Linked DNA regions of Mus musculus. The protein of the gene in region 1 binds, or shares a complex with, the protein of each later gene. Links are inferred from orthologs where the notes say so. Each region holds a gene or a part of one and is shown on either strand. Other genes may lie near its edges.

The links.
Region 2: the proteins of Etfb (region 1) and Acadm are in contact, whole or in part, in a crystal structure (PDB 2A1T), measured with the Homo sapiens proteins. The link is inferred for Mus musculus from reciprocal best matches to the Homo sapiens genes ETFB and ACADM. Residues at the interface, in NP_001976.1 of Homo sapiens: Glu73, Arg76, Thr77, Tyr192, Ala193, Thr194, Leu195, Pro196, Ile198, Met199, Lys202; in NP_000007.1 of Homo sapiens: Glu43, Gln44, Lys46, Glu47, Phe48, Thr51, Lys54, Phe55, Glu58, Glu59, Arg80, Glu83, Leu84, Gly85, Leu86, Leu98, Leu100, Ile108.
Region 3: the proteins of Etfb (region 1) and Etfa are in contact, whole or in part, in a crystal structure (PDB 2A1U), measured with the Homo sapiens proteins. The link is inferred for Mus musculus from reciprocal best matches to the Homo sapiens genes ETFB and ETFA. Residues at the interface, in NP_001976.1 of Homo sapiens: Ile14, Tyr16, Val18, Ile20, Val22, Val29, Thr31, Phe41, Leu102, Arg106, Lys124, Gln125, Ile127, Asp128, Asp129, Asp130, Cys131, Asn132, Gln133, Gln136, Met137, Ala139, Gly140, Phe141, Asp143, Trp144, Pro145, Gln146, Thr148, Phe149; in NP_000117.1 of Homo sapiens: Glu27, Leu88, Pro89, Glu90, Ser113, Ala114, Phe115, Lys117, Asn118, Pro121, Arg122, Ala124, Ala125, Lys126, Glu128, Val129, Ala130, Pro131, Ile132, Ser133, Arg146, Thr147, Ile148, Tyr149, Ala150, Gly151, Asn152, Ala153, Leu154, Cys155.

Annotation. Positions count from the first base shown.
Region 1 is NC_000073.6:43,440,862-43,450,912, reverse strand, and holds the start of Etfb (electron transfer flavoprotein subunit beta), read right to left. Parts: upstream 6,802-10,051; 5' UTR 6,766-6,801; coding exon 6,709-6,765; intron 1-6,708. Other genes in the region: Cldnd2 (claudin domain-containing protein 2), read right to left, coding at 7,495-7,696, 7,972-8,062, 8,607-8,747, 9,099-9,267. UniProt on the Homo sapiens protein: Heterodimeric electron transfer flavoprotein that accepts electrons from several mitochondrial dehydrogenases, including acyl-CoA dehydrogenases, glutaryl-CoA and sarcosine dehydrogenase.
Region 2 is NC_000069.6:153,938,433-153,948,495, reverse strand, and holds the start of Acadm (medium-chain specific acyl-CoA dehydrogenase, mitochondrial precursor), read left to right. Parts: upstream 1-3,852; 5' UTR 3,853-4,070; coding exon 4,071-4,100; intron 4,101-6,525; coding exon 6,526-6,613; intron 6,614-9,328; coding exon 9,329-9,426; intron 9,427-9,529; coding exon 9,530-9,599; intron 9,600-9,841; coding exon 9,842-9,942; intron 9,943-10,063. UniProt on the Homo sapiens protein: Medium-chain specific acyl-CoA dehydrogenase is one of the acyl-CoA dehydrogenases that catalyze the first step of mitochondrial fatty acid beta-oxidation, an aerobic process breaking down fatty acids into acetyl-CoA and allowing the production of energy from fats.
Region 3 is NC_000075.6:55,495,199-55,504,756, reverse strand, and holds part of Etfa (electron transfer flavoprotein subunit alpha, mitochondrial), read left to right. Parts: intron 1-4,592; coding exon 4,593-4,739; intron 4,740-8,933; coding exon 8,934-9,015; intron 9,016-9,112; coding exon 9,113-9,195; intron 9,196-9,558. UniProt on the Homo sapiens protein: Heterodimeric electron transfer flavoprotein that accepts electrons from several mitochondrial dehydrogenases, including acyl-CoA dehydrogenases, glutaryl-CoA and sarcosine dehydrogenase.

The DNA.
Region 1 (10,051 bases):
CCCCAGCTCCTCACTGGTGGAATTCAGACAGACATTCTACCAGTTACAAATTTGCCCCTACTGGCCTTGAACTTGAACTTGCTCTGTGGTCCAGGCTAGCCTTGACAGTCAAGAGTGTAGGGATAACAGATACTGTGCTGAACTGTCCTGCATATCTTTAGCCGTGCGGCAGATAGTAGTCAACAAGCCAGTGAGAACTGCCTTACAAGGGCACACCTAAAGCCCCAGGGCACCTGCCCTGCCTTTAGACACAAAGCCCCAGGGCACCTGCTCATGTCCTTAGACCCAGCAGCATTGAAAATCAAAACAAAAAAACCTTTGCCTTAAAAAATAAAATAAAGCCGGGCATGGTGGCTCACGCCTTTAATCCCAGCATACGGGAGGCAGAGACAGGCGGATTTCTGAGTTAGAGGCCAGCCTGGTCTACAGAGTGAGTTCCAGGACAGCCAGGGCTACGCAGAGAAACCCTGTCTAGAAAAAAATAAATAGCTGGGCGTGGTGGCTCACGCCTTTAATCCCAGCACTCGGGAGGCAGAGGCAGGCGGATTTCTGAGTTCGAGGCCAGCCTGGTCTACAAAGTGAGTTCCAGGACAGCCAGGGCTATACAGAGAAACCCTGTCTCGAAAAACAAAATAAATAAATAAATAAATAAATAAATAAATAAATAAATAAATAAAATAAGATAAAATTCAATAAGGGCCAAGGAGGTTCCCTAGTTGGTAGAGCACTTTCCCGGGCATGCATGAAGCTCTGGCTTCCACCCCCAGCATCCGGTAAATCAAGCATGGTGAGATGGGCCTGTAATCCCAGAAGTTAAAGGTCATCTTTGACTACATAATACAGTTTAGTCCAACTTGGGCTATCAAACCCTACAGTAAAGCAGACAAAAAAAAAAGCATTATATGAATTTCCTCTTCAAGACAGGTAGGAAACTCCCTCTGCATAAAAGGCTGGGGCTGGTGAGTGGAGAGAGGCCCAGGGCTGACATCACTATGGCTATGCTAGGACAAAGGGGCCAAGGAACCTGCTAGTTCACCTGCTTAGTGAGACCCACATGTTTCCAGATGCCTGGGGGATTAAGTCAGAAAGCAATGGTTGGCACATCTGCAGTGGTGTTTTATTTTATTTTATTTTGTGGCAGAACTGAGGTTTCAGTCCAGCATGCCAGCAAGCACCGCACCACTGAGTGGCCTCTCCAGGCCTCTCGTGCTTCTATTTTAGATACGGGGCAGCGCTCCATTCAGCTCCATAAGCTCTGCCCATGCAGGAGCTCGGCCCCAAGGTCTAAGTGGCTTTAACAGCTTGCATTCGTGTGGTCTGTCCTATAAGCCAGGGAACTTGGTCACTGCTATTGCCATGTTGGAGCAATTGAGGCCCAGAGAAGTCAGGTGCCGACCCACCGTCACCCAGGGAGGTGGGAACAGAGGGACGGGGGTCTAACTTAAGGCTGTCTTGGAAGCAGGAAGCTCTATGGAGGTAGCAAGTGTGTCTATTGCTGCTATTTCCAAGAGAGGGGTTTGGTTTTCGAAGAAAACTCCTGAAAACAAGCTGTGTCTGAAGATTTTCATTAGACTATCAGAACTGTCAAGAGATTGTAAGGTTTTAGGGCCAGAGACTAATTATCTTGGGCTAGTTCTAGTCTAGTCTTGGCCCTCCTTTGTGTCTGAGCTAACATCTGTGATTAACAGATAAGAACATTTAGAATCTATTAACTTAGCAGACCACTAGCTTCCTTCCATCAACCCAAAGGCTAAGAATGCCTCCATATAGCATCGTGGGCCTACAGAAAAGCTTCCCTCATCTCAATGCTCCTGCCTCTCTGGTGTAGCCAGAATACACTATCTCTTATTCCCACGTCGAGATGCAACCCAAGCCTGTTGGTTCACAGAACTGCATCACCAGCAATGTGCTCCCCGCTCTAACTATGCTCAGTATGGCCTTGGATTCACTGTAGGTGAGGATGGGCTTGACCTCTTAGTGTTCATGAGGAGGCTTCCTGGATAGATGGGATTATGGTACTAGGGGGTTTCTATAAGCAGAGTGTAGGGGTGCACACCTATAATCCCAGTATTTGGGAGTTAGACCCAGGGGAATTAGTTCAAGGCCACTTTAGGACACATAAAACTTGGTCTCAAACAAAACAAAACAAAACAAACTAAAGACAAACCAGAGGCCCAGTGGATAAAGAGGCCTGCTGCCAAGCCTGAGGGGTACCTCAGGATCTACATGGTAAAAGGAGAGGACTGATTCCTTCATGTTGTCCTCTGACCTAGGCTCATGGCCTGTGGGCACACACCTGTATGCTTGCTTATACATGCACAAGCACACACACACACACACACACACACACACACACGCACAAATTTTTTTTTTAAGAGAGGGCTTTTAAATGCAGTTTCCTGGACCCTTGACACAGTGCACAGACTTCCACTTGGGTGTGTGCCACACTCTTAACAGAGCTTGATGGGAAAGGGCACCTGTAGGACATAGAACAAGTAGAGCAGCAAGGCCTGATGGGAGATCACACACTGGCAACACCAGTGACAGCGTGGCTACTGTGGGGCCAGAGCACTGAGCAAATACAGAAGATCTCCTGGGGGCAACACTAGGGCCTGAGGCTGGGGTTGGGGGGGGGGGGGAAGCGAGGGTAATGAAGGAAAGGTGTGGGAGCCAGTGTTTCCTTAAGCACTAAAGGGGTGCGGCGGCCACTTCACAGCTGGCCACAGCCTTCCTGGGCCTCAGATCATCCTCCAGCCTCTCCTGGTTACCTCAGAGGGCTAACCCTCATGGAAAATGTGTTCCTGGCCAGAAGCAAGCACCTCGCTGAGTGGCCAAATACCTATTAATACTTTCCTTCTCCCTGTCTGAGCAAGCACCAGTTATATTTTAAGGAAGTTGCTAAAGAGACCTCCATCACTGGCCATCCAAATCGTTAACAGCACTCACTGCACACCAGGCACTCTTCCAAGGAGTTAGTTAACGTAAACCCAACTGTGGTGACAAGTGCCAGTAGGATATGCTGACGAAGCATAGGTAGAAGGATGAAGGGTTCCAAATCACTCTGGGTTACACTTTTGAGCCACTGAGATGGTTCAGTAGATAAGGGCATTTGCTGCCAAGCCAGATAACCTGAATTTTATCTCCGAGACCCACATAGTGGAGGAAGAGAGCCCACTCACTTCCCACAGTAGTGCTGTGGCATGTGCATGACCCACCTCAAATAAATAAATAAATAAAAATTACTTAACCCTCAGAAAGTATGTACTACCATAAGCACTACTGTCAATAGGAAGAGAATGAGGCTCAGAGGTTAAGAGCACTGGCTGCACTTGCAACACACCAGGGTTCAGTTCCCAGCATTCCCGTGGTTGCTCCCAACCATCTGTAGCTTCAGTTCCAGGAGATCAGATGCCCTCCCCTGGCCTCCAAGGGCAATACATGCAAATACTGCACATAACACATTTACAGGCAAACATTCATACATATAAAACAAAAATAATCTTAAGGGTCATTTATCAGTGGGGTGAACCATTCTGATGCCCGCAGCCTGAGACTGTTTCCACGGTGAACACATCAGACAACTGTTTCCCCCAGAAGATCTCAAATTCCAGAATGCCCATTAAAAAAGTGATACTGGTTACATGGCAGGAGAGTGGGCGTGGAACTGTAGGGCCTCTGAGCACCATGATCTTCAGCAAAGGATCACAAGGCCTCAGAAAAATGATCTGAGAACAAACATCATGAGGAACTGGGTGATACCAGGAACACTGAGGTGGGTGAGAGACTTGGTTCAGTCTGCAAGGAGCTGCCAGTCTGGAAATGGGGGTGCAGGTGGCACACTGGGGTAAACAAGAAGACTACAATATACTCTGGAAAGGGCTTACAGGATAAGATTCGGGGGGAGGGGGGACCTCAGGAGAGAGGAGATTCATTCAATGTTGATGTAATCAATTGGTCACAATTGTCAAGACAGGAAAAGGATGTTAGAGAGTACAGCAGAAAGGACACCAAAGCAAAGGAATCAATTGACAGAGTACAGGCTGGAGGTTTGGAAGCAGAAATGGGAGGAGAAGGTCCCAAGACCTAGAAGGTCCCCAGCCATAGATGGCTGAACCAAATAACCAAGGGTCCCAAAGCCAGCCTGAGAAGGTGGGACTTTGTATGGAGAGTGATGGGGAGCCAAGACAAGGTCAGCCCTGCATGTAGGAAGTCCCCGAGGCTGGATGAGAAAGTGCTGGAGGGGAAAGCCCAAGATCTCAGGGGGAGGCTAGGGTTAGGCTGTAGGTGAGACAGGGGTTAATGGGATAGGGCCTGGGGTCAGAAAGGAAACAGTGCTGTATAAGGTTTGGGGCTGGGAACTGACAGTCCGTGGGTTCTGACATTGAGTGTTAGGAGAAAAGATGGTACCTAAGTCTGGCCCAAGTAACCAGATGATGAAAAGATGGTATCAGGAGTCAGGGTAGCAAGGTCTGACTCACTGCCTTTCTCAAAGAGGGTATCATCAGACACTGGATGTGAAGTAGGAAGCTTGCACAGTGTGAGAGGGAAGTGCCATGACCCTAAGAAAAGAGGACACCATGCCGTATTCACCTTTAAGCTCTCGGTTCATACTGGAACACAGCCTAGCTGACCATGGGCCAAGCTTTGCACTAGGAGGCGCTGGGATTAGAGTTCATTCAAGGTGGTGAGGGTACTGGGTACGGGGTTGCAGGCCCAGCATCAAAGCCAGTTGAGAGGTTGAGGATGTAGAGTCTGAGGCCAGCCTGGGCAATTAAACGCCTCAGAATAAGATGTAGAGACCCAGGAGTGATAGTAGACAGCTGTAATCCCATCACTCAGGATGTAGAGGCAGGAGGATCAGGAGTTCAAGGCTATCCTCGACCTCTTAGTGAGTTCCAGGCCAACCTGGACTAAATAAGACTGTCTCTAGGGGCTGGGGAGATAGTTCAGTAGTTAAGAACACTTGGTGCTCTTTTAAAGGACCCAGGTTCAGTTCCTGACACACCCATCAGGCAGCTCACGATTACCTATAACTGGCTTCAGGGTTTGCTAATGCTCTACTCCAGCTTGCAGGGGCACCTATACTTCTTCTATGTGCATATCCACACACATAGGCCTAATTAGAGGAGACTGGAGAGATGGCTCAGTGGGTAAGAGCACTTCCAGGGGACCTATGCTATGGACATCGTAGCTCACAACTGTCTGTAAACACTAGCCCCAGGGTATTGGACACCTTCACGCATGCATGCATGCAAGCAAAACATCCATGCACATAAAATAAAAATAAATAATAAATCATTTTAGAAATTTAAATTATAATAAAAATACCTTGTCAATAATAATAATAATTTTAAAAATAAAATGGAAAAAGACTGGAGCTATAGCTCAGTGGTGCTGGTCTGGCCTAGCACTTGGAAGGTCATGGGCTTAATTCCCATCAACACACACACACCCAAATAAATAAATAAATAAACAAACAAATTAATGGTGGTTGAGTTGCCCACAAACCCACATGTATCTCAATAAACCTGGAAGCACCATCTCTGTCACAGGCTGTTAGAAGCCACCTCAAGCCAACCCGTTTTCTCTCTAGCAAACAGGCAGAGAGTCAGACTTGCCCAGACTCCTGATTCTTGCTGCTTACCCAGCTTGGGGGCAGGGGGCAGGCATCTGGCAAGTAACAGGGCCTCCACGGGCCTGGGTTTCCTCAACCACCCTGTTCGATTGAGAGTACAGAAGCTGTACAAAGGGATCAATCTCTGTACAGGAATTATATCTGCTGGTGCTTTGTGCCGACTTCCATGTGTGCTGTCTGGGTCATGGACATTAAGTCTGAGTCTGTCTCCTGAATCCTTCTTGTCTCATTCCTCAACTGCGGTACGTAGATGGTGGTATTAAATGATATAGCCCGTTTTTACCTATCTCAGAGGGTCTCTTGGGTGCATCTTCCTTATGCTAGGAAATTTGAAGGACACAAAGGGGGATCACAGGACAATGGGGACAGACAAACATGAATTGCCACCATCTTTTTTTCAGTACAGATTAGGCTAAGCATTGAGAGACTGGCCTGGGAACCCAGTCTGATTCAATGCTGGCTACAGCAGCTTCTCTCTGAGGAGAACCCAGGGCCTCAGGGGTGCTGCCCTCAGACTGCTCACGGACACTCCAAAGTCTTAGTTAAGCTGGCTCCTTTGAACTTGCTTCTCCAGCAAGCACAGGTCTCCTTCCCTTCCTAAATAAAAAACTGTCGACAAGCATCCCATGGCTATATGGGTGAGGCGCTTTCTGAGTCCCATGGAACCAGATGGCTCTCCATGTGGCTGTACATTTAGAGCAGACAGTGCAGCCTGCAAGGTAATGAGTGATGAAACCGCAGGCCCCACATAGAATTCTCTATTCTGATTCTCTCTTGCTAAGTGCCAGTTTTGTGCCTCAGTTTCTCCACGTGTTAAATAGGGACCATGACTCCTCCAGCCCACAGTTATCAAGGGACTGAGAGAGAGGGGAAAAGGGTCGTCACCTCAGAAGGATCTGATTGTCAAAATCTCACAGCCCTTGATTTTTGCTCCAAGTATGACTGACGTCGGGTCAAAGGGCAATAGAAATTGACTTTTGAAAGGTTCTCTTATGTGGGGCACGCTCCTGCTCTTGGACGTTCATAGCTGCGGTCTCAGGGTGCTGGGACCTAGTCGGGGTGGGGAAAGTCACCTTCACAGCGAAGTCGATGACCCTCTTGACAGCCACGAGCGCGCGCAGCTCCGCCATCTTCCTGCAGCAGTCACTGGCCGGGTCAGGTTGCTCCTAATCCAGATAGTCACACACTCCGCCCCGTATCTGTCTCTGCGCCTGCGCGCCGCAACACCGACCAATCAACCGTCGCACAACTCAGAAAAAGCCAATAGGAAGCGGAATTCAGGGAGAGGCGGGGTCCACGGCGGACCGCTGGGTGGAGGGGGCGTTGCACAGAAGTAGGGGAAAGGGCATTCCTAGGAGTGAAGTTTGCTGAGGGCTTATTTATCCTAATGCTCTCCTCGTAACTCCTGTTGTCCCCAGATCTGCAATTCACTTCTAGATCCCTCCTTTCTCAGCACTCCAAGCCCCCATGTCTGTGTTCCCACGCGCACCCTGTGCCTTTTTTCCTACGCCCCCAAGGCCTTCCTTCACTTGCTTGCCGCCGCATTCTTTCTGCAGATTCCCTCCTTATCCTTGCGTCTACACTTTACTTCCTTGTGATTTTCCCGTGTCCGCTCATCCCCACCTCCTCCCGCGACTGCGTGCTTTATGACTCTCCCGAGTCCCATATTCTCTCCCCGTGCATTCCCCGGGTGCGCTCGTCCCCGCCCCTTCTTCTACGCCTACATCCGCTAGGACTACCCGGTGTCAGCTTGTCCCTACACCCTCTCCCTGCTTCCGCATCTGCAAATCCCCAGGGTACACACCTCGTTACAGGGTTCAAGTCTCCGTTCCTACCCTCCCACATTCCTTCTGACCTCCTTAACTCTCTACAAGCCACTTTATCCGTGTCTCTGTAGTCTCCAAGCTTCTGTCTCTACGTTCCGCAGAAAAGCACGCAGGGGCGAGGCTAAAAGCCATTCCTTTATTCTGCCCCAGGCAGGCCGCATTCATAGGCATACCGGGAATCCGCTGATGGCTTCGGTGCTCTGCAAGATCATGTCGGCAAGCAGAAAGCAGAAGCCTGGCAGGAAGGGAGTACAGAGCCCGGGGAAGGAAGGTGGGCTATGGGGCGGATGATCTGGCCTGCCTGGGAGCTAGGGATGGGGGTTCCAAGGGCGTTTCCATCGGGTGTCTTGGAGTGCAGGGGCGGGGAAGTCACTGGAAGTTATTGTGGACTTTGCTAGGAAGAATAGGTGACTGGGAAGTTTCTGGGGAGGGGAGTCCTCTAGAGGGGTAGTCTCCACCCTCTTCCCCTCGTGCTGGTTACCCGCAATAAACAAGAAGGGTAAAGCCAACCATCCGAAAAAGTAGGACCAGGAGAAGAAGACTTCTGGCTTCCAGGCATTCTTTGAAGTGTATACGGCCAAGGCAATCAGCAGCAGCAACCCTGGGCCACGCCCACCCGTCAGGTGAGCGTGGCCAGGTAGAAGCTGCACCCAAGCCCACCCCTCAGAACTGCCCTTGTCTCTGACTTATCAAACCACGCCCAGCTTCCCTTTGGCTTCACCTTCGTGGGCTTCTTGCTCCTCCTCTTTTCTTTTTTTATTAAAAATAGATTCTTCCTTTATACAATCTATCCCGACCACAGTTTCCTCTCCCTCAACGTCTCCCAGCTTCCCTCATCTCCCCTCCCACACTTCCTCCTCTTCAGAGTAGAGTAGGTCTCCAAGAGAGGACAGTCAAACAGGACAAAAAGAGATACAAGGAGACAAGGCAAAAGCCCACGGAGGATGGGCAAGAGAACGCAACAGGAGGCGAAGAGTCCCAAGAGCAGAAGAAAAGAGTCAGAAACATCCCCACTGTCAGCTGCCCCCTGGCCCCTCCCATTTCTAACCATGGCAGTCAAACTCTCTCGGCCCAACTCCTTCAGAATTGCCACCACCACCAGCACCACCACCACCCCTCCTACATAGGGGTGACTGCCTTCTCACCGCTGAGGAAAAGTAAGACAATGGTATTCTGGCTACGTCGTGACTCTGCCTCTCGACACTGAATCCTTATCCCGATCCCCAAAGCTACAATACTGAAGGTTGCTGCCAACACCATGCACGCTGCGGACACTGCCACGGTGTCTGGAGAGACAGGGTAGCATCAGCTAGACGCCTTGGTGCCATGAAAGAACATCCCTGGGCTCTTCTGGCCATCCTCACCCCTACACACACACACACACACACACACACACACACACACACACACACACACACCATGAGTATCTAGAGCTCATCTGACTGCATTTTGGAAACAGGTGTTCCTATGGGAACGGAGGACTTGGTAGGGAGAGGACAGCAAGGCAGGCCTGGGGAGAAAGAGCCTTTGGGTAAAGGACATCTGGGTCTGCGCCTGGTATGGAAGGCCCATCTGGAGCTAGGGGTAGGGGTGGGCTCTGGAGTGTGGTCTGATATAGAGGCAGGTGAAGGTCTCACTCTGGCAGGGGATGTTGGAGCATTTGCCATGGGTACACTCCTGCCATAGGCCACTGTGCCCCCCTTGCTGTCGGGTCCAGTAGTTGGTGGTAGTAGACAGTACTGTGAGGATGCTGCTCAAGAGATTAAGTAAATTCCCTCCAGTCTGAAGGCTCTTCTTCACCCCCATGCCAAGGAGGCAGCTGCCAAGGACATCACAGGTACGACTGGCTCACACCTCTCGTTAGGAGGAAGCTCTTCCACGCCAGAAGGCCTCCCCCCCACCCCCCGCCCCCCAAGCACTCTTGCCTGGCAACCTCAACGTCCCCAACAGCAGCCACTTGCCTGGGATCCTAGCCTCAGTGAGGCTGAGGCAAGACATCACAAGCCCAAGGGCAGGCCATGAGTAATGTAATGAGTTCTGGGCCAGGCAGACTACAGTGTGAGAGCCTATCTCAATTAAAACAAGCAAAACAATACAAAATAAAAGAGGAGCAAGGAAGGTAGCTTAGTAGTAGAGTGATTGCCCAGCATGCACACGGCCCTGGGCACATTCCTTAGTTTAATATAAAACCGTCATGGTGGGGCACACGTGTCATCCCAGCACTTGGGAGATAGGGGCAGAAGGATTAGAAGTTCAAGGTCATTTTTCACTTACATAGTGAATTCAAAGCCAGTCTGGGTTATGTGAGACTCTCTCAAACAAAACAAAAAATTTCCCAATATCCCCTCACCCCATGCTACTGGCCTCTTCCTCAGCTACCTTGCCTAAGAACTTATGACCCCCCTCTAAGAGACTCAGTTCTCCAAGTGTCTCCATCCCCATCTCCACCTCAGGCCTAGTGACTAACTTTCAGGCATTTTCTTCCTCAGTGAGGAAGGTGGCCCTATTGGCCCCAGTGCCCCCCCCAGCCCTACCCGTACACATACACACCCCAGAAAATGACTTACAGCCTGGTCCCCTGCGACAAAGA
Region 2 (10,063 bases), on another chromosome or scaffold:
CACTGCTTTTCCACTAAGAATCAGATCCAGGGATTAGAGCCAAATGGCTAGATCTAGCACTCAAAGTACAGCCAACAATTTCAAGTGTGACTTTTGCTCGACAAACAGCAGCACTACAGAACGTGAGCCTGGGTTTTCCCTAGCATGGCTGACTGGAAGAAACCACAAAGGCCTGAGGTAAATGCAGTCAGTTCTCCCTCCTTTCCTCTCTTTTCTTTCTTTCCTTTAAGTATTTCTGGGAACTGAACCTAGCTCTACATTCATGTTAGGTAAGTACTCTACCAGTGAGCTGTGTTCCCAGCCTTTTTTGCAATTTTTACTTTTGACCCACAGATCTTTTCAAGTGGCACAGACTTGTCTTAAACTTGCTCTGTAGTCCAGGCCTTGAACTTTCTACCTCCTACCTCATCTCCTTGAGTAGCTAAACCTTCATCCCTCCCACCCCTGGCCTTGGAACTACTGGTCCTCTAGCACCCATACCTCCTGAATGCTAGGATTAGAGGTGTGAATCCGCAGGCCATCTTGAATGATTATATTCTTAACTGTCCTACACTGTAGGGGAATCCTCTCCTTGTGAGTTCCTGCAGACATATAAATTTTCAGTAACTGAGCATAAAGATTATGCTTGCTTGCTAGGGACATAGCTCTGTGGCTACTTCTGACTAGCCAATGGGAAACTAAATCTTTGCCATAGGAAGGATTGTGCATCACCACTTTTATCAAATAATCATCTCTTGGGGATTGGTTCCAATGCTTTCAATTAATCAGGGATCTACCCGTCGAAACGATGAAGGTCCTTGCCCCCAATTAGTCTTTAATCAATCAATAAAGATCAATGGCTGGGAGGAGAGAGGGGGGCTCAACGTTTAGATTATGTGGGCTAGGAAGTGGGAGAAAGGAAGATGGAGACTCACTATGACTCAAAAGAGGAGGATGGGACAGAAGAGCTACAGTAGATTAAACCAACCAGCCCTGTAAGAAGTGGCCTCTGGCCACTTTCCCAATTGGAGTTGGGTACTAGGTAAAAGTTTAGGAGTGCCCAACCTTTGAGCTAGTTGTGGCAAGTCAAAAATCAACGTGTGTGTGTGTGTGTGTGTGTGTGTGTGTGTGTGTGTGTGTGTCTTTCATTCGATAATCCAAAGATCCTGTGAAATCCGCCAGGAGCCAAAGTGGTGTAGCTAAACTCACTGCTACAACCAACCATCATCAGGAGACAAAGCTGACATTAAAGACTTGCTCATGTGAAGTAATATGAATGTACAGCAGGGGCCATTGTTCAGGACAACTGGCTTGGCCTCTTAAAGAAAACAAGAGGGGGGCTGAGGAGACAGCTTAGTGGTTAAGAGCAGAGGACCTAAGTTTGGTTCCCAGTACACACAGCCAGCAGCTGGCAATCACCTATATCCAGTTCCAGGGAATCCGTTATCATCGTTTGGCCTCAATGTGCACAGAGACATACAAATATACATATTTTTTAAAAAGATGCTATTGTTGGCTAAAGATTGATTAAATTTTAAAATAGAAGAAGTTAAAACCAATTTGAAGTAGGAAAACATTCATAGAATTCTGGTTTGAAAACAAATTACATGTAAAAGTCACTGGAGAAATGCACATATTGACTATGTCTGGATATTAAATGATGATAGAGATTAACTGTCCAGACAGATGTGACAACAGAACTCACATGACAATGTGTTATATAAATATTTAGAGTTGGAGCGTGTTATGTTCAAATTAGTTCTGAGACTAATCAAATTCTTAGAAATTGCTCTTACCCAAAAGCTCCAACTCTGTGCTGGAGAGATGGCTCAGCGGTTAAGAGCACTGACTGCTCTTCCGAAGGTCCTGAGTTCAAATCCCAGCAACCATATGGTGGCTCACAACCATCTGTAATGAGATCTGATGCCCTCTTCTGGGGTGTCTGAAGACACCTACAGAGTATTTACATGTAATAAATAAATAAATTTTGCCGGGCGGTGGTGGCACACGCCTTTAATTCCAGCACTTGGGAGGCAGAGGCAGGCAGATTTCTGAGTTCGAGGCCAGCCTGGTCTACAAAGTGAGTTCCAGGACAGCCCGGGCTATACAGAGAAACCCTGTCTCAAAAAAAACAACAACAACACTCCCCCCCACCCCAAAAAAAAGCTCCAACTCTTCACTTGGGCTCAAAGATTGCTGAGAAGGATAAAAGTCTGCTACCTTCATTTGCATCTGTTCTCTTAACTTTGGGTCCAACTCCTTAATGCTATACAGTCAGTCAAATATTGTAAGATCGCTAACCCTTGTTATTCCTGTTTGAGAGTGAATGTGAGGTGAAGCAAACACACTGTACCAGAGACAGAGAGACACGCTCTCAAAGCATCTCTCCAGGCTACCCCAAAGTCTCTGTTCCAATGAAGTAGCAATATCAAGATGCTTAATGGAAACAGAGCAAAGAAGGTCATATTTACATCAAAGTACTTTTCAAATACTTTAGTAGAAATGTTACAGAAAAAAAAAAAAAGCCATAGGCTTCCAATGCTATCTGACAACATTTGCCATCTGGTTGGTGGGAGGTAGGTGTGTGCCTGAATATTCTAAAGAATGTACCTAATGGTCACAAAGCTGTTAGCTTACACATAAAGGAAGGCAATAAATGGCTGCCAAGGAGGCTAAAAATGGCACAGATAATGTTGTTTGTGGACCTGGAACATTCCACAATCAGAGGTTTAAACAGCTCATCAGACTAGCAGGCCATTCAAAGGAAGATACCTTTTTCTGGAATGTTCCCTTACAACCATTAGAAACTATGTTTCAGGAAAGATTGTTGATGTTGAAAGATTAATCTTATAGATCTGAGCATTTATCTCACAATGGAATCCACATACCTTTTCTAGGCTTTGGTGTGCCTGACAATGCTACAGGTAAGACAGAGAGAAGATGAGAATTTTTCATTGTTCATTAGTCTCAAAAATAAGCTCCTGTCTCCCAGTTCCTTGAAGCAGAGAGCAAGAGGACTATTGACAGCTTAATCTTTGGCAACTAAGGTACCCAACACTAAGAAGTTTTATAATCTCTCATCTTTATAACACCACAGCTACCATCTCAGACACAAGGTCTAACTGGAAGACAATGGGAATTTAAGCAAAGTTTACAAACTCATGAGCAAAATTTCACTCCCAATGTTCACTGTCTGGGGAGCTTTTGGATAGGCTCAGCTTGGGTTCCCAAGGATGCTTCCCACATCTATATAAGTGGATAATAAGTAGCCTTGAAAACGTTCAGAAAAATAGATGAAATAAACACTATTGTGCTTTGGTTTGTTTAGGTTTTGCTACTTGGCTCTCGCTGGCCTCAAACTCGCAGTGATCTTCCTTCTCAGTCTCCTGGCACTGAGATGTCTTAGTCGCCCTGGCTACACATGCAGCTAATTTCCTATTTAAATTTTAAGGAGTACAGACTACCTATCGATCTAGCCCAGAATTTGTTGTTCCAGTGAATACCGGAGCCATAAAGAATCTGACTCTCCAAGTAAAGGTCACAGCTGACTGCTAGAAACGTCTGGCTGCGCCCTCTGGCCTAGATTCGGGTCCAGCTCTCCCGGGCAGCCCTCTGGAAAGAACGTGACCTTCGGGCTCCGGTGACACTGGGCACACAGTCTTCTTCTCCGGGCCAAGCACAGAAGTTTAGGCTCGGGCAAGGTCGGGAGCAGGACGCATGCGCAGAGGGCCTTCAGGCCACTCCCTCTTCTGGCCCAGGTCCGGACCCGAGACCCTCCCTCATCTAGCCCCGCCTCCCAGGCCACACCCCTTGAGCCTGCAAAGACCACGCCCAAGGTCTTCTGCTTGGACCCGTCATCCCTCTGTCTCTCAGCCGAAGTCAGTCTGAGAGCTCAGACCTCATCTGTGTGTAAAGGGACTCCCTAGGCCACGCCCCCGAGGTCTGCAGACTTTGACCCGCACGCCTCCGCACCCCTAGAGTCTAAGGCCCGCCCCTCTCCTCCCTCCAAGCCACGCCTCCTGGGGGCGGGACCCCCGTCCGTTTTGCTTGCTGCACGGAGGTGGTCGGAGGCAGCAGATCGAGGAGCCATCATGGCAGCGGCGTTCCGCAGAGGCTGCAGGGTGAGCGGGTGACCGGGTGGTATCGGGAGGGTCGGCCCTACGCGGCCTGGGGGAAAGCGGGAGCCTGCGGGCGTCCCCCCGCGCTGCCTGCCGCCCTCCCTCACTGATCTCCGGGCTCTGACCCCTGCAGGCGTGGCCCTGCGGACCTGCTTCATTCTGGGTCAATGGGCTCAGCCACTTCTCTCCAGTCACCCACGCTTCTTGAAGGGAACCCGGTGTCAGAACCCTGCTGTGGCAGAGGCGATCACTTCCAAAAAACTTTGACTGTAGTCCCACCCCAGGAAGGCATCAGTGTGTGGTTCTGTAGCCACGGGCGTGAACAAGTGTTAGGATCCAAACAGGTTGATCCTGGGTGTGCACAGAACACAGGCACAACACGAAGGAAAGGGAAGTGGGCCGCTCCGCTCGCACCAACAGGGTTAGGACGCCTGTGGTTTTGTGATGTACAGGCACCCTTCCAAAAAACAAAAGGGAGACAAGCCTACCGAAGAATTTTCATGAAGCTTGCTTTCTAAATGTTGTACCCTGCAGAGTTTTGTCTCCTAAGCTGTTTTAACCACTAGTTTGTTATATTAGCGATGTGTTCGTACAAACCTCCATTTATACCACCTAAAACTGGACTGAAGTTGCCTCTGGCACCGAAAGCTGTAGTTTTAGAATTTACAACACCATTACTATACAACTCAACAGGTTCTGAAAGCAGAAATTGAAGGGTTTTAAAGTTATTTTTTATTCTGACAACAGAACTACAGGTTTCTTGGTGCCTCCAAGGACAAGAGAGGGAAAGTCTAACACCATAACAAAACAGAAAATGCATTCCTTTATCCTATTTTTCACACCGGGATAAAACCAAGAGTCAAATTTCTAAGTAATTCGTTACTTAGTTATGCTGTAGTTGCGGGCTTGAAGACTAAAGTTAGTAGTGTTCCCATATTGGAATTCCTTGGTTTTGGCAGAGAGCCAGGAATAATAAACGCAATTCTCTTCTGACTTTAGAGTTTCAGAGTGTCGTCGTTCTTTATATTGGGTCTCATTTTGTAGTCCAGGGTGGTGCGGCGCTCACAGCTTCACCTCTGCCTTCAAGCCTGGCTGTCTTATTTTAATAATCTCCAGTTATCTCCTAGGATTAGTGAGCCTGATTTTCAGGTGTAAATACAAATTGTGTGTTTGGAACTGTTCCCAGACGGGTGTTTGCAAAACTTAAACTCTATGTTGTAATGCTAAGTTTTTAACCCTGTTCTTTTTTTTATTGTTTCTAAGCTGTCTACACACAGACACGTGCACACTCACATACACAGACAGGTGTGTTCACACACACAGACACACACAGACCTGCACATCCTCTCTGCACAAGCAATGAGCAGGCTCGTGCGTGCATTAAGCTACTCTAATTGAATGACTAATGTCAGTATATAAGGAGCCCAGTAATGGGCCCGCCACTTAAGTTGTATAAAATGCAGCTGACCAGTTTTGTAGAGTGGTGGTCTTCATTTAATCTCGGAAGTAGAGGCAGAAGAATTGAGATCCCAAGGCTAGCCTGGATTCCACGGTGGGCTTGGGGGCTATCCTAAACTACTTCAAAAGAACTTGTCCTAACAGGAACACAAACCAAATTATTAGGGCCTGGTGTGGTGGGTCAAGCCTTTAACCCTGCATTTATGAAGGTAGAGTTAGGGAGCTCTCTGGGAGTTCAAGGCCAGCCTTGTGTACAAAGTAAATTTCCAAATCAGCCACAGCTACGTATTGAGACCTGTCTCAAAAACAAAACAAACAGCACCACCAAAAACTGCACTTGAACACACACACACACACACACACACACACACGGAAGGAGGGAGGGTGGAAGGGAGGGAGAGAGAGAGAGAATGAGAATGACTGAGCAATTTACATTTTTTTCTCATTTAATATTTACTGCTCTTGCGGAGGGCCTGAGTTGGCTTCTCAACACTGATGTTAGGTGGCTCAGAACTATATGTAACTCCAACTCCAGAGAATCCTGTACCCTCACCACACATATATAGACACACAAATGAAAAACTATAAAATTGAATAACATTTCCTTTATGGTTAGGCATCCCTCTAGCTTGTAATTGACGTTTGAGTTATAATTTATTTAGTACTGACTTTAAGAACGTAGCTCTTGAATAAAAACATAGCCATACAGATGCTGTGCTTGCCCTGGGGTCTGTATGACAATACTCATTTGTGTGCGGATGTGTCTGTGTGGAACTCTCAGTACATGCAGCAAGGTGGAAGCCAGAAGACGGTGGTGGGAGTGAGTTCTCTCTCCCACCACGTGGGTTCCAGGGCTCAGGCTCCGGTCACCCGTCTATACAGTAAGGACCTCAATGGCCTAGCCAGTGTTTTTGCATTTGGTTGATATTTAGGTTATTAAGTTTACTTATTATATCTATTTTTTTTCCAGGTCCTGAGAAGTGTTTCTCATTTTGAGTGTCGAACACAACACTCGAAAGCGGCTCACAAGCAGGAGCCCGGATTAGGGTTTAGTTTTGGTATGTGTCCCTCCCTTTGACTTGAAGGTCTGCCTGGGCTGTGTCTGTAACATGATGTCTGTTGATGAGTGGAGCAGACACCGCCCACAGTTGGCTCCCGGTAACTTCCGTCTGCTGGACTGCGTTGCCTTCTTCCGTATGCTCTCCCGAAAACTGCGTTGCCTTCTTCTGTATGCTCTCCCGAACACTCAAGTGTTCTCAGGCGGCCTCTATGGTGTCCTTTCTCTTCTTTCCCAAATGGTAGCCCAAATAAATGAATATATATGAATTGTTTTCAACCTACAGATTAACTGTAACATACTTCCTTTGTCTTTGGAGACAGTCTCACTATATAGCTTTGGCTGGCTGGAGCTCTAAGTAGAGAGATAGGCAGGCCTGCCTCTCCCTCCCTAGTACTGAGATTAAAGGTGTGAGCAACCACACCCGCTGGCTTAACAAATATTTCTCCAAATACTCATCGGTTCAGTGGTGTAACAATTAAAAAATTGGCCTGATTTATCTGAGCTGCGGTTTGATGCTGTTATACGGTGTCCTCAGACCTGAGACCAGGTGGCCATGTGGTTTTGGAGGGAAAAGAAGCTAGATTCTTCTTTTCCTTTTTACAAAATGAAACATTCCGAGTTAAAAATGTGAAGTAAATCCTGGTTTTTGGTGTCCTTCACCCCTAAAGGGTTTTTACTTGAAGTTGTTACCTTGCCTCTAGCTAGGAAACCATTTTCTCTGTTCCCTTGGTCTCTGAAAAGTTCCAAGGCTGAGCTGGTTAACAAGCACGGGGTCCTTGGTGGCTGAACGCATCTAGGTTTATTGACTTTATTCGAGTATACTTGAGTGAAAATACATACATACACACACACACACACACACACACACAACTGGAATTAGACTTTTCATATATCATGAGCATAGCAAGTTGAATTAGTGGGCGTGTGAGAGTAGCAGCCTTTACTCTGACTGTTATCTATTCTCAGCTTTTTTGGGGGGCGCAGGGGAGGCGGGTTTCAAGACAGGGTTTCTCTGTATAGCCCTGGCTATCCTGGAACTCACTTTGTAGACCAGGCTGGCCTCGAACTCAGAAATCCACGTGCTGGGATTAAAGGTGTGCGCCACCACGCCCAGCTTTATTCTCAGCTTTTTACATATGAATTCCTACATACTTGTGGGCAGTTCCGAGAATCTGACAAGCCTCGGAGTGCCAGAGGGTGAGGCAGATAGAGGAGTTTGGGAGGGAGTTTGTGAGCTCAGACTAAAGTGCAGGTAATGAGAGGACTGGTGGAGGAGCGCACCTTTGACCCCAGCACTTGAGACCGAGGCAGGTGGATCTCTTGAGTTCGAGGGCAGGCTGATCTACAGAGCTAGTTCCTGGCCAGCCAGGACTAACTGGTTCTGATGGATAAAGTAGGTATAACAAGTGCAATAGGATATCATGAAGATTACTGAGTTGATGAAAGCAGGTTGCCAACAAATAATAATATGGTAGACGCCTTTCCTTCTGACTTTGGACTCATCTGTCTAAAGTCGGAAGGAATTATCTCCAGTCTTTGAAGTGAAGAGATCTGGAAAACCCCAGCAGCTCCGAGCCCCAGGCTCCTTGACTGCTGCTGTCATCACCACGAGCCTCGAGGAGCCACCTCCTCTCTGCCTGGTCTCCTGCTTTTGTCTTCCTGGTTCTTTGTTTGTTTGTTTGTTTGTTGTACTTAGTAGTGAAACCATAGAAACCAGTGTGCCAGTCCCCTTAAAGGAAGACTGCTTGGTGTGTCATCAGGCTGTGTGGATGACTGACGGAAGTACACAGCTTTCAGCCATTCCTTAGTCTCCGTGTCTTAACCATGAGACTTGATCTGTCTTTTACACTTTGCCTCTCGGCCCCATACAAATGAGAACTGTAGATATATATTTTTTTCTTTTTTTAAAGACAGGATCTTACTGTGTATCCCTATCTGGCCTGGAACTCACCATGTAGAACAGGCTGGCCTTGAACCTACAAAGATCCTCCTGCCTTTGTGGTCTGAGTGCTGGGTATAAGGGTGTATGCTGCCTCACCTGGCTTGTTCTTCTAAGCGTTGGCTCTTACTCTGATTGCCTGAAATACCCAGTGCCACCTTTAACCCTCCCTGCCCTGCCGTGTGTGGAGGGTGGAATGGAGGGCCTCCCTCACAGAGGCTAGACAGGAAAGTGCTCCCTCCACCTGTGAGCTACTTTCCAGCCTCGTTTATTATATCAGTGCAGCCACATTGAAACACCAGGTAGTACAGCTCCAAAAATGCAGTTATCCATCCACACTTACCCCAGGGGTCCAGGCAGCGGAGTCGTCTCATTCATTTTACAATAACTAGTTTTATTTCGTGTAGACCCATTGTTTTAATACTGCCTGTTGCTAATACAGAGGGTTCAATGTGTCTGTTAATATTTTGGGGAGACTTCTCATTGCTTTTACCATTTTATTTGTGGGAACTTATATCCTTAACCTTATTGGGGGCTTAAAAGAAGAGTGAAATTTAAATCATGGTGTTGACGTTCTTCCGTAAGTCCCTGAAACAAGCTTTATTGCTGTATGCTGCCCGAGTGCGTACGTCTTGTGTCTTTAGACTGCTGCCTGAGGTCAGAAGCTTACCTCTTGATAGATAGAAACCTCTGCAGAACAGCTTCATGGGCCTTGTCTCTTCAACTCAGTGTTGATGAACTCTTTTTGATGTTCTCAAAATAATGTTCCCTTAGAGTTGACGGAACAGCAGAAAGAGTTTCAAGCAACTGCCCGCAAGTTTGCCAGAGAGGAGATTATCCCCGTCGCCCCGGAATATGACAAAAGCGGGGAGGTGGGTATCGGGTTGCCGGGGAAGTGGGGAAGTCGTGTATGGCCAGGAGATTGGGTGGCCAGCCTGCCTAGGCTCAGGTGTGCTGTACCTGTTCTCCTTTCAGTACCCGTTCCCTCTCATCAAAAGAGCCTGGGAACTCGGCTTGATCAACGCGCACATTCCGGAAAGTTGCGGTAAGCCTCCTACACGTTTGCTCCGAAAATTACAAAAATGAAAACGCCCATTTCTCTAAAGTGTTGTTGCCATTCAGAGGCTTTCTGCCTTTGTTTCCCTATTGGCAACATAGAACTTGCCTGCTCGGAGGAGCCTGGTCCTCACTCAGCACAGAGCACAGGCATCTCCCTGTCTAGATGGTTTCGAGTTTATTGAGTTGTTCTTCATATTATAACGTGCTACGTACACTCTGACGCTGTAGGTGGCCTTGGCCTGGGAACGTTCGATGCTTGTTTAATTACCGAAGAGTTGGCGTATGGGTGTACAGGGGTGCAAACTGCTATTGAAGCAAATTCTTTGGGGGTAAGTCACTAAGACAATCACTTATCATGGGGCTGGTGGAATGGCTCAGTGGGTAAAGGCGCCCCCATGGTCTGAGTTCCACCTCTGGGGCCCGTGTGATGGAAGGAGACTACGGACTCCC
Region 3 (9,558 bases), on another chromosome or scaffold:
AGCCAAAACCATGTGTAAGTCTATGATCCAGCCTCCTGCTGACTGAAGGGGCAAGGGAGGGCAATACTTTTGCCGTGGTATTGATGACTGCAGAATCACAGTTGAGAAAGAAGGCTTCTGTAACAACCGAAGCAAACAATCAAAGATGTGCAGCTCTCTCTTCACTCCTTTTGTAGAAGTGAACAGTTTTGTTGAGTGGAGTCTGTGATGTTTGATCTAACTTCTTTTTTCTCCATTTCTCATGCAATCCTGAGATCAGATAGAATATTTCTTCTTTCCTCAAATCTCTGCTGCCATTTCTCATCTTGTCACGTTGACCCCTAAGCTTACTTGCTTTCCTCTACTGATTTTACTCCATGATCCGTACCTTTCACTGTTTGCCTCTCTTCATTTGAAAAACTATCTTACGATTGGTTATACACGAACAAATCTTACTTCCCACGAAATCTTTGAGCGTGGGGATAGTTCTTGTTCATTATTTTTTTCTTTCTTGGTTTTTTTGAAAATATCCTGGGTAACCATGAGCTATGTTTTGGTGGTGGTTTGATATTCTGGCTAGTTAGAGCTAGATATGAGTTCAGCTCACCCCCTTTTAATTTTAAAGCATATTCAAACAGTTGAAACACCAGCAAAATTGCTGCTTGGTGTCCTTAAAACTTTTTAAAATTACATCTTTTAGTTGAAGGTGCATGCACATGCCACAGTGCACACATGGAGGTCAGAAGACAACTTGTGGAATCAGTGCTCTCTTTCCACCATGAGTCTGGGGTGGAACTTAGGACTTGAGGCATAGGGCAGGTGCCTTCACCATCTCCAACCTTTTTTTTTTTAATATTTTTTATTGGATATTTTCTTTATTTACATTTTAGATGTTATCTCCTTTCCTGGTCTCACACACCCCTAGAAACCCCCTATCCTATCTTCCCTCCCCTGCTTCTATGAGGATGTTCCCCAAGCCACCCACCCAGACCCGGCCTCCCCGCTTTCACATTCCCCAACACTGGGGCATCGAGCTTTCACAGGATCAAGGGATTCTTCTCCCACTGATGCCCTACAAGGCCATCCTCTACTACATATGCAGGTGGAGCCATGGGTCCCTCCATGTGTATTCTTTGGTTGGTGGTAGTCCCTGGGAGTTGGGGGGGGGGAGGTCTAGTTAGTTGAACTTGTTCTTCCTTTGGGGTTGTAAACCCCTTCAGCTCCTTCAGTCCTTTCTATAACTCCTCCATTGGGGACCCTGCACTTAGTCCAATGGTTGGCTGCAAGCATTTGCCTCTGTATCTGTCAGGCTTTCATGAGACAGCTATATCAGGCTCTTGTCAACATGCACTTCTTGGCATCCACAGTAGTGTCTGCGTTTGGTGACTATATGGGATGGATCCCCAAGTAAGGCAGTCTCTGGATGGCCTTTCCTTCAGTCTCTGTCCCAAACTTTGTCTCCATATTTGCTCCCATGAGTATTTCTCCTCCTTCTAAGAAGGACCAAAGCATCCACACTTTGCTTCATGTGGTCTGTGAATTGTATCTTGGGTATTCCCAGCTTTGGGGCTAATATCCTCTTATCAGTGAGTGCATACCATGTGTGTTCTTTTGTGACTGGGTTACCTCACTCAGGATGATATTTTCCAGTTCCATCTATTTGCCTAAGACTTTCATGAATTAATTGTTTTTAATAGCTGAGTAGTACTCCATTGTGCAAATGTACCACATTTTCTGTATCCATTCCTCTGTTGAAGGACATTTGGGTTCTTTCCAGCTTCTGGCTATTATAAATAAGGCTGCTATGAACATAGTGGAGCATGTGTCCTTATTACATGTTGGAACATCCTATGCCCAGGAGTGGTATAGCTGGGTTCCCAGGTAGTACTATGTCCACTTTTCTAAGGAACTGCCAGACTGATTTTCAGAGTGGTTGTACCAGCTTGCAATCCCACCAACAATGGAGGAGTGTTCTTCTTTCTCCACATCCTGGCCAGCATTTGCTGTCACCTGAGTTTTTGATCTTAGCTATTTTGACTAGTGTAAGGTGGAAATCTCAGGGTTGTTTTGATTTGCATTTCCTTGATGACTAAGGATATTGAACATTTCTTTAGGTGCTTCTCAGCCATTCAGTATTCCTCGGTTGAAATTCTTTGTTTAGCTCTGTACCCCATTTTTAAATAGGATTATTTGATTCTCTGGAGTTCAACTTCTTGAGTTCTTTGTATATATTGCATATTAGCCCTCTATAAGATGTAGTATAGGTAAAGATCTTTTCCCAATCTGTTGGTTGCTGTTTTTTCCTATTGACAGTGTCTTTTACCTTACAGAAGCAATTTTATGAGGTCTCATTGATTCTTGATCTTAGATCATAAGCCAGTGGTATTCTGTTCAGGAAAATTTCCCCTGTGCTGCCCATGTGTTCCAGGCTCTTCCCCACTTTCTCTTCTATTAGTTTCAGTGTATCTGGTTTTATGTGGAGATCCTTGATCCACTTGGACTTGAACCTTGTACAAGGATATAAGAATGGATCGATGGTGGTGGCACAAGCCTTTAATCCCAGTACTCAGGAGGCAGAGGTAGGCAGATTTCTGAGTTCGAGACCAGCCTGGTCTACAAAGTGAGTTCCAGGATAGCCAGGGCTATACAGAGAAACCCTGTCTTGAAAGAACAAAAAAAAAAAAAAAAAAAGAATGGATCAATTTGCATTCTACATGCTGACCTCCAGTTTAGCCAGCACCATTTGTTGAAAATGCCTTTTTCCACTGGATGGTTTTCGCTCCTTAGTCAAAGATCAAGTGACTATAGGTGTGTGGGTTCATCTCTGGGTCTTCAATTCTATTCCCTTGATCTACTTGCCTGTTGCTGTACCAGTACCATGCAGGTTTATTTGTTTTATCACAATTGCTTTGTAGTACAGCTTGAGGTCAGGGATGGTGATTCCACCACAGGTTCTTTTATTGTTGAGAATAGTTTTTGATACCCTGAACTTTTTGTTATTCCAAATAAATTTGCAAATTGCTCTTTCTAACTCTATGAAGAATTGAGCTGGAATTTTGATGGGGATTGCATCTTAGATTGCTTTTGGCAAGATGGCCATTAATCTTGCCAGTCTACAAGCATGGGAGATCTTTCCATCTTCTGAGGTCTTTGATCTCTTTCTTCAGATAATTGAAGTTCTAGTCATACAGATCACTTGCTTGGTTAGAGTCACACCAAGGTATTTTATATTATTTGTGACTATTGTGAAGGTGTCTTTCCCCCAATTTTTTCTCAGCCATTTATCCTTTGAGTAAGGAAGACTACTGATTTGTTTAAGTTAATTTTATATCCAGCCACTTTACTGAAGTTGTTTATCAGCTGTAGAGTCCTCTGGTGGAATTTTTGGGGTCACTTAAGTATACTATCATATCATCTGCAAATAGTGATATTTTGACTTCTTCCTTTCCAATTTGTATCCCTTCGACCTCCTTTTGTTTTCTAATTGCTCTGACTAGGATTTCCAGTACTATACTGAATAGGTAGGGAGAGAGTGGGCAGCCTTGTGTAGTCCCTGATTTTAGGAGGATTGTTCTCCATTCAGTTTGATGTTGGCTACTGGTTTGCTGTATATTGCTTTTACTTTGTTTAGGTATGGGCCTTGAATTCCTGATCTTTCCAAGACTTTTACCATGAAGGAGTGTTGAATTTTGTCAAATGCTTTCTCAGAATCTAATGAGATGATCCCAGCACTCAGGAGGCAAAGGCAGGCGGATTTCTGAGTTCGAGGCCAGCCTGGTCTACAAAGTGAGTTCCAGGACAGCCAGGGCTACACAGAGAAACCCTGTCTCGAAAAACAAAAGCAAAAACAAATTTGCATTTTAAGCCAGGCAGTGGTGTCCCATGCCTTTGATTGCAGCACTCAGGAGACTGAGGGAGGTTGGTTACTGAATTTGAGGCCTGCCTGGTCTACAGAGTGTTCCAGGCTAGCCAGGGCTGTACGAAGAAACCCTTTCTAGAAAAACACTAAAAAGTAAAGGAAGGAGAGAAGGACGTAGGACAGAAAGAAAAAAAATTGTCTTACCGTATCTATTGCTACAGTGAAATACCATGACCAAAAAGCAACTTGGGAAGGAAAGCATTTATTTGGCTTACACTTCCACATTGGTTTTCATCATCGAAGGAAGTCAGGACAGGGACTCAAGCAGGTCAACAACCTGGAGGCAAGATGTGATAGAGGGGTGCTGTTTACTGACTTGCTCAGCCTGCTTTCTTGTAGAACCCAGGACCACCAGCCCAGGGATGGAACCACTCAAAATGGGCTGGACCCTCCCCATTAATCACTAAATAAGAAAATGCCTTATAGCCAGATCTTATGGGAGCCTTTTCTCAGTTCAGGTCCCTTCTTTCAGATAACTCTAATTTGTGTCAAGTTGACATAAGACTTCTTGATTTTTGTTAGGTAAGGATCTGATATGATAAAGGTAGATAGCTTAATTTATGCTATCAAGGGAATATTTTATTAATGCACTTAATAAAACTGAGCATTGCACGTCAGAATGTTTTCTTTAAAGCCCACATGCATAATAGTTATCCTGAAAGACTACATTAATGTTCTTCTCCTTTTCTTTTAGGCCTCATTGCTCCGTTTTCAGAGTACCTTGGTAATAGCTGAGCATGCAAATGATTCCCTAGCACCCATTACTCTAAATACTATCACTGCAGCTGGACGTCTTGGAGGTGAAGTGTCCTGCTTAGTAGCTGGAACCAAGTGTGACAAGGTGAGAGCTTTTTAAGGTCAGCCATAGCAAATATAATCTCCATCAAGAGGCAGTGAAAGATGGCAACAGTTATTATGCTGACTCTAACTGGGCTCTAGTCCTCATTAAATGGCCAGTGTCACAGATATTATTGTGTATGAAAAAAGAACCAAAAGGTTTTTCTCATGAAGCATTTTGTCTTTCAAAATGAGGTGGAATGCCTGATTTGTTCTGCTGGCACCATCCTGTGCCATCAGGTACCAAGTAGAATGGCATCTGAGTCCTCTTAGAGTTAATAGCAGATTCTTTCTGTACTGTACACTTGTTAATTTCTTCTAATTCCAGAAAGTAGTCAATCTGGGCAAAGTATCAGAGATGCTAATATTTAATTGGTAGAAGAACTCAAACCTTCTTCTCATTCTTCTCAAATTATGGCTGGTGGTAAATGTTGATTTTGTTGTGGTTGTTAAATAACAACTTTGGAAAGTAACTCTTGGGAAACTTTATTCTGCTGTGCAGACAAGAGCCTATTAAGACTACAGAGCTTAGCAGGGTGTGGTGGCGCATGCCTTTAATCCCAGCACTGGGGAGGCAGAGGCAGGCGGATTTCTGAGTTCCAGGACAGCCTGGTCTACAAAGTGAGTTCCAGGACAGCCAGGGCTACACAGAGATACCCTGTCTCGAAAAACCAAAAAAAAGACTACAGAGCTTTAGATGCCAGTTCCCCTCCACTATATCAGAGTTGCTGAGTGTGTGACAGGGGGTTTGGCCTTCATGAAGAGTAAGTGTTGAGAGAGAATGTTTCTTTTTAGCAGGCTACATATTTTATTAAATTGTTGATGTAGCACACATGGTAATGCAGGTTAGAATGTTAGTGTCACTTCTAATTCCTTTCATAAAAGTGGTGTTTTTAGGACTGTTCAGCTGGTTTTGAGTTACGTAGGTTTCTTTATCTCACTCCTCTTGATGGTTATTGAACCTTTTTCTTAGGTTTTTTTTGTTTTTGTTTTTGAGACAGGGTTCTCTGTGTAGCCCTGGCTGACTGTCCTGGAACTTGCTCTGTAGACCATACTTTCTTTAAACTCAGAGATCTCCTGCCTCTGCCTCTCAAGTGCTGGGATTAAAGGTGCACACCACCACCACCCAGCTGCTTATTGAATCTTATACAGTTACTGTTTACCACAATGTCTGATAATAGAGTTAAGCCAACTTTGTTTTTTGTCTACTCAGTTTTAAAATATAAACAGATACTAGATCTATTTGTTTTGCTGAGATTTTAACTACTTTAAAATTTCTTTAAAGTACTTGATATTTAATCATTTGCAGTCTTGTGTATTTCTTGTTCTTATTTTTAAGAAAGGTGTCTGCTAATAATGTAGACAGATTTTAGTTTTGTATTGTTTTTTTCAGCTGTTAATCATAAACTGAAAGTGATTATTCTATGTATTACTGAAATTTTGACAGTTAAAAAAAAGTTCTAATGGGAAATTCTGTTCTCTTTGTATCCAGGCTGATGTGTAGCAACTTTGGAATTAAGTGGGTTTCTTAATTGGAAATTTCTTGAAACCAGAGATGCTAAATACTGGTGTACCTCTGTGTAAGACAGTGTGATGTGCTGCTCAGCACTCAGCCCAGCAGAGTCTTCCTGTGTCCTCCTTTCAGTGAATACTGTGGAACCTTTTAGTCCATGGAAGAGGTTAGGAGGCTCAGCTTCTTGTGCCCAGTCATCAGTGAATTAGCAAATGGAAGACAGTAATAGCTGATGGGACTGATAAGCAGAAACCACTCATATTAAAGTTACTTTAAAGGAAGAATGCTAATTGCCTTTTGAACAGAAAATCAGAGTAGTCAAAGGTTTCTCAGAATCCGTACTTAATTCTAAACAGGAAAAAAATGAGAAGTTAAACAAGAAAATACCTTCCTTTGTTGAAGGTAAGTATGTTTGTGTAGGCAGAAACTCCGTGTTGACAATGGGCTGTAATTGAAGATTTCTCTCTATTTCTTGGAATTATTAATCTTACTCTCAAAAGAAATTATTGTTAAATTAAGTGTAGTCAACTTTAGAGAAGTTCTGCCTTCACTTTTAACAGATCCTGAGTCTAATGTGTCTTATTGGCTTGGATATACATATAATACCCATATGTGCATATATATGTGTGTGTGTGTGTATATATATAGAGAGAGAGAGAGACAGACAGACAGACAGACAGAGACAGAGAGAAATCTCATTTTAGTTCTCCTTTCCTCTTCCTTCTTTTTTCCCTTTGTATTTCTGAGAGTGGATGTCACTCTATCCCACACTGGCTTAAAATCTGTGATTCTGCTACCTCAGCATCCCAAGTACTGGGTACCACATCCAGTTTTTACTTTTCTCCTCCTAAAATAATGCACTTAAATTGGCATCAATGAAAAAACATAGTTTTCAGCTAAATTTGAGTAAATTAATAAAAAAATTGATTTTGGTTTATCAATTAGTATTAAAAAAGATTTTATTGGGGCTGGAGAAATGGCTCAGCAGTTAAGAGCACTGACTGCTTTTCCAGAGGTCCTGAGTTCAATTCCCAGCAACCACATGGTGGCTCACAATTTGTAATGGGATCTGATGCCCTCTTCTGGTGTGTCTGAAGACAGTGACAGTGTACTCACATACGTAAAATAAATAAATAACTTAAAAGATTTTATTTATTTTTATTTCATGTATATGAGTTTTGCCAGCATACTCATATAGGAATCAAGCATGCAATGCCCTGGGGGCCAGAAAAGGCTATCAGAACCCTTGGAACTCAAGTTACAGATAGTTCTGAGCTGCCACGTAGATGCTAGGACCTGAACCTAGGTCACCTTTGAGAGCAGCAAGTGCTCTTAACTGCTCAGTTGTTTCTTCAGCCCAGTTCTTTTGTTTGTTTGTTTGTTTGTTTGTTTGTTTGTTTGTTTGTTTGTTTTTCGAGACAGGGTTTCTCTGTATAGCCCTGGCTGTCCTGGAACTCACTCTGTAGACCAGGCTGACCTTGAACTCCTTTTGTTTTTTAAGGTAGAATTTTTATAGTGTGACTGATTATGTCAGTTCATAGTAAAATCAGTTAGCTTGTAATTTTCTTTAAGAATTTTTTTCGAAAGGGCTGGGGAGATAGCTCATTGTTTAAGCATGCAGACTGCTCTTGCTGAGGGCCCAGGTTTGATGCCCATCACCCATGTTGACAGCTTTCATCTGCCAGTAATGTTAATTCTAGGGAACCTAGCACCTCTGACTTCCTTGGGCATCTGTACTCTGTGTACATATATGCCCTCCCCATAGACATAACTAATTTTTTAAAATGTTATTTTAAAAAGAATAATTTAAAAATAAAAACCTAGTGCGGTGGAATATTTGTAGTCATAGTATTCTGGAGACTGAGGGTAGAAGACCGTTGCAAAATCAAGGCCAACCTGGGCTACGTAGTGAATACTAGGTCAGCTAAGGCTGGTAACAAGACTCTTCTGGGGAGAAAGTACCAAAATAAGACCAAAACAAACAAACAAAAAAACAACATAGCAATGTTTTTATTTTTTTTTAATTATCTTTATTGACTTTACTAAATAGTTTTGTGTCAACTTAACATCTCATCAGAGAGGAGAGAGCCTTAATAGAGAAAATGACTCCATAAGATGAGTTGTAAGCAAGTCTGTAGGTCATTTTCTTAATTTGATTGATTAGGAGTGGGGGGAAGGAGAGAGAACTAGGCCTTGTGTGGGCTTTTGAAACCTCAACCCCCATATCTCCTACCCCTTCCCCACCCCCCCATCTACACACCTTTTCAACAAGAACATAACTCTTAATCCTTTCACAGAGTTCATCAGCTGATCAGCTGGGGACTAAGCATACACGTATATGAGCCTATGAGTGGCATTCTTTTTTCTTTTTTGTTTTTGTTTTTGTTTTGTTTTGTTTTTCAAAACAGGGTTTGTCTGTGTAGCCCTGGTTGTCCTGGAACTCACTTTGTAGACCAGGCTGGCCTTGAACTCAGAAATCCACCTGCCTCTGACTCTCAAGTGCTGGGATTAAAGGCGTGCACCACCACGCCCAGCTATGGGTAGCATTCCCCTACACCATCTCAAAACAAACACATAGTAGTTTTTCATACTTGGCCATTAAGATTTTATGCTTGGTTAAAACTTAACAGTGTTGGTTCATTGTTTCTTTTGGTGGATACTTAGAAGCCCTTCTCTTTATCACAGGTGGTACAGGATCTATGTAAAGTAGCTGGCGTAGCAAAGGTTCTGGTGGCTCAGCATGATGCATACAAAGGCCTTCTTCCAGGTGAGGTGTTCTAGTGGGAAAATGTAGTCTCTTCTGCTCGATATATGATTATGAAGACAGCATGAAATGTGTTTCATCAAATGTGTTTAATTCTCAGAGGAACTCACACCATTGATTTTGGAAACTCAGAAGCAGTTCAGTTACACACACATCTGTGCTGGAGCGTCTGCTTTTGGAAAGGTGAGAAGTGAGTGAATTTCACTGGGCTGGAAATGTAATGCTCTTTGTTTAAATAGCCAGTCCTGACTTGCTTGCACTAAGGGGCATACTGCTAACATTTATTCTTTTAAGATTTCATCAAATTTTCAAATTTTGTCACAGAGATAACTATTATTTTAGAATTTTATTATAAATTATTAACCTGTCACTTCTAGGTTTTGGAATTGGCCTAGATAAAACTATTATTATTAAATGGATTTGTGTGTGTGTGTGTGTTTTCTCTCTTTCTCTCTCTCCCTTTCTCTCTCCCTCTCCTCCACCCCCTCCCCACCCTCCCCACGCCCCTGTAGCCCTAGCTATGCAGGTACTCACTCTGTAGATCAG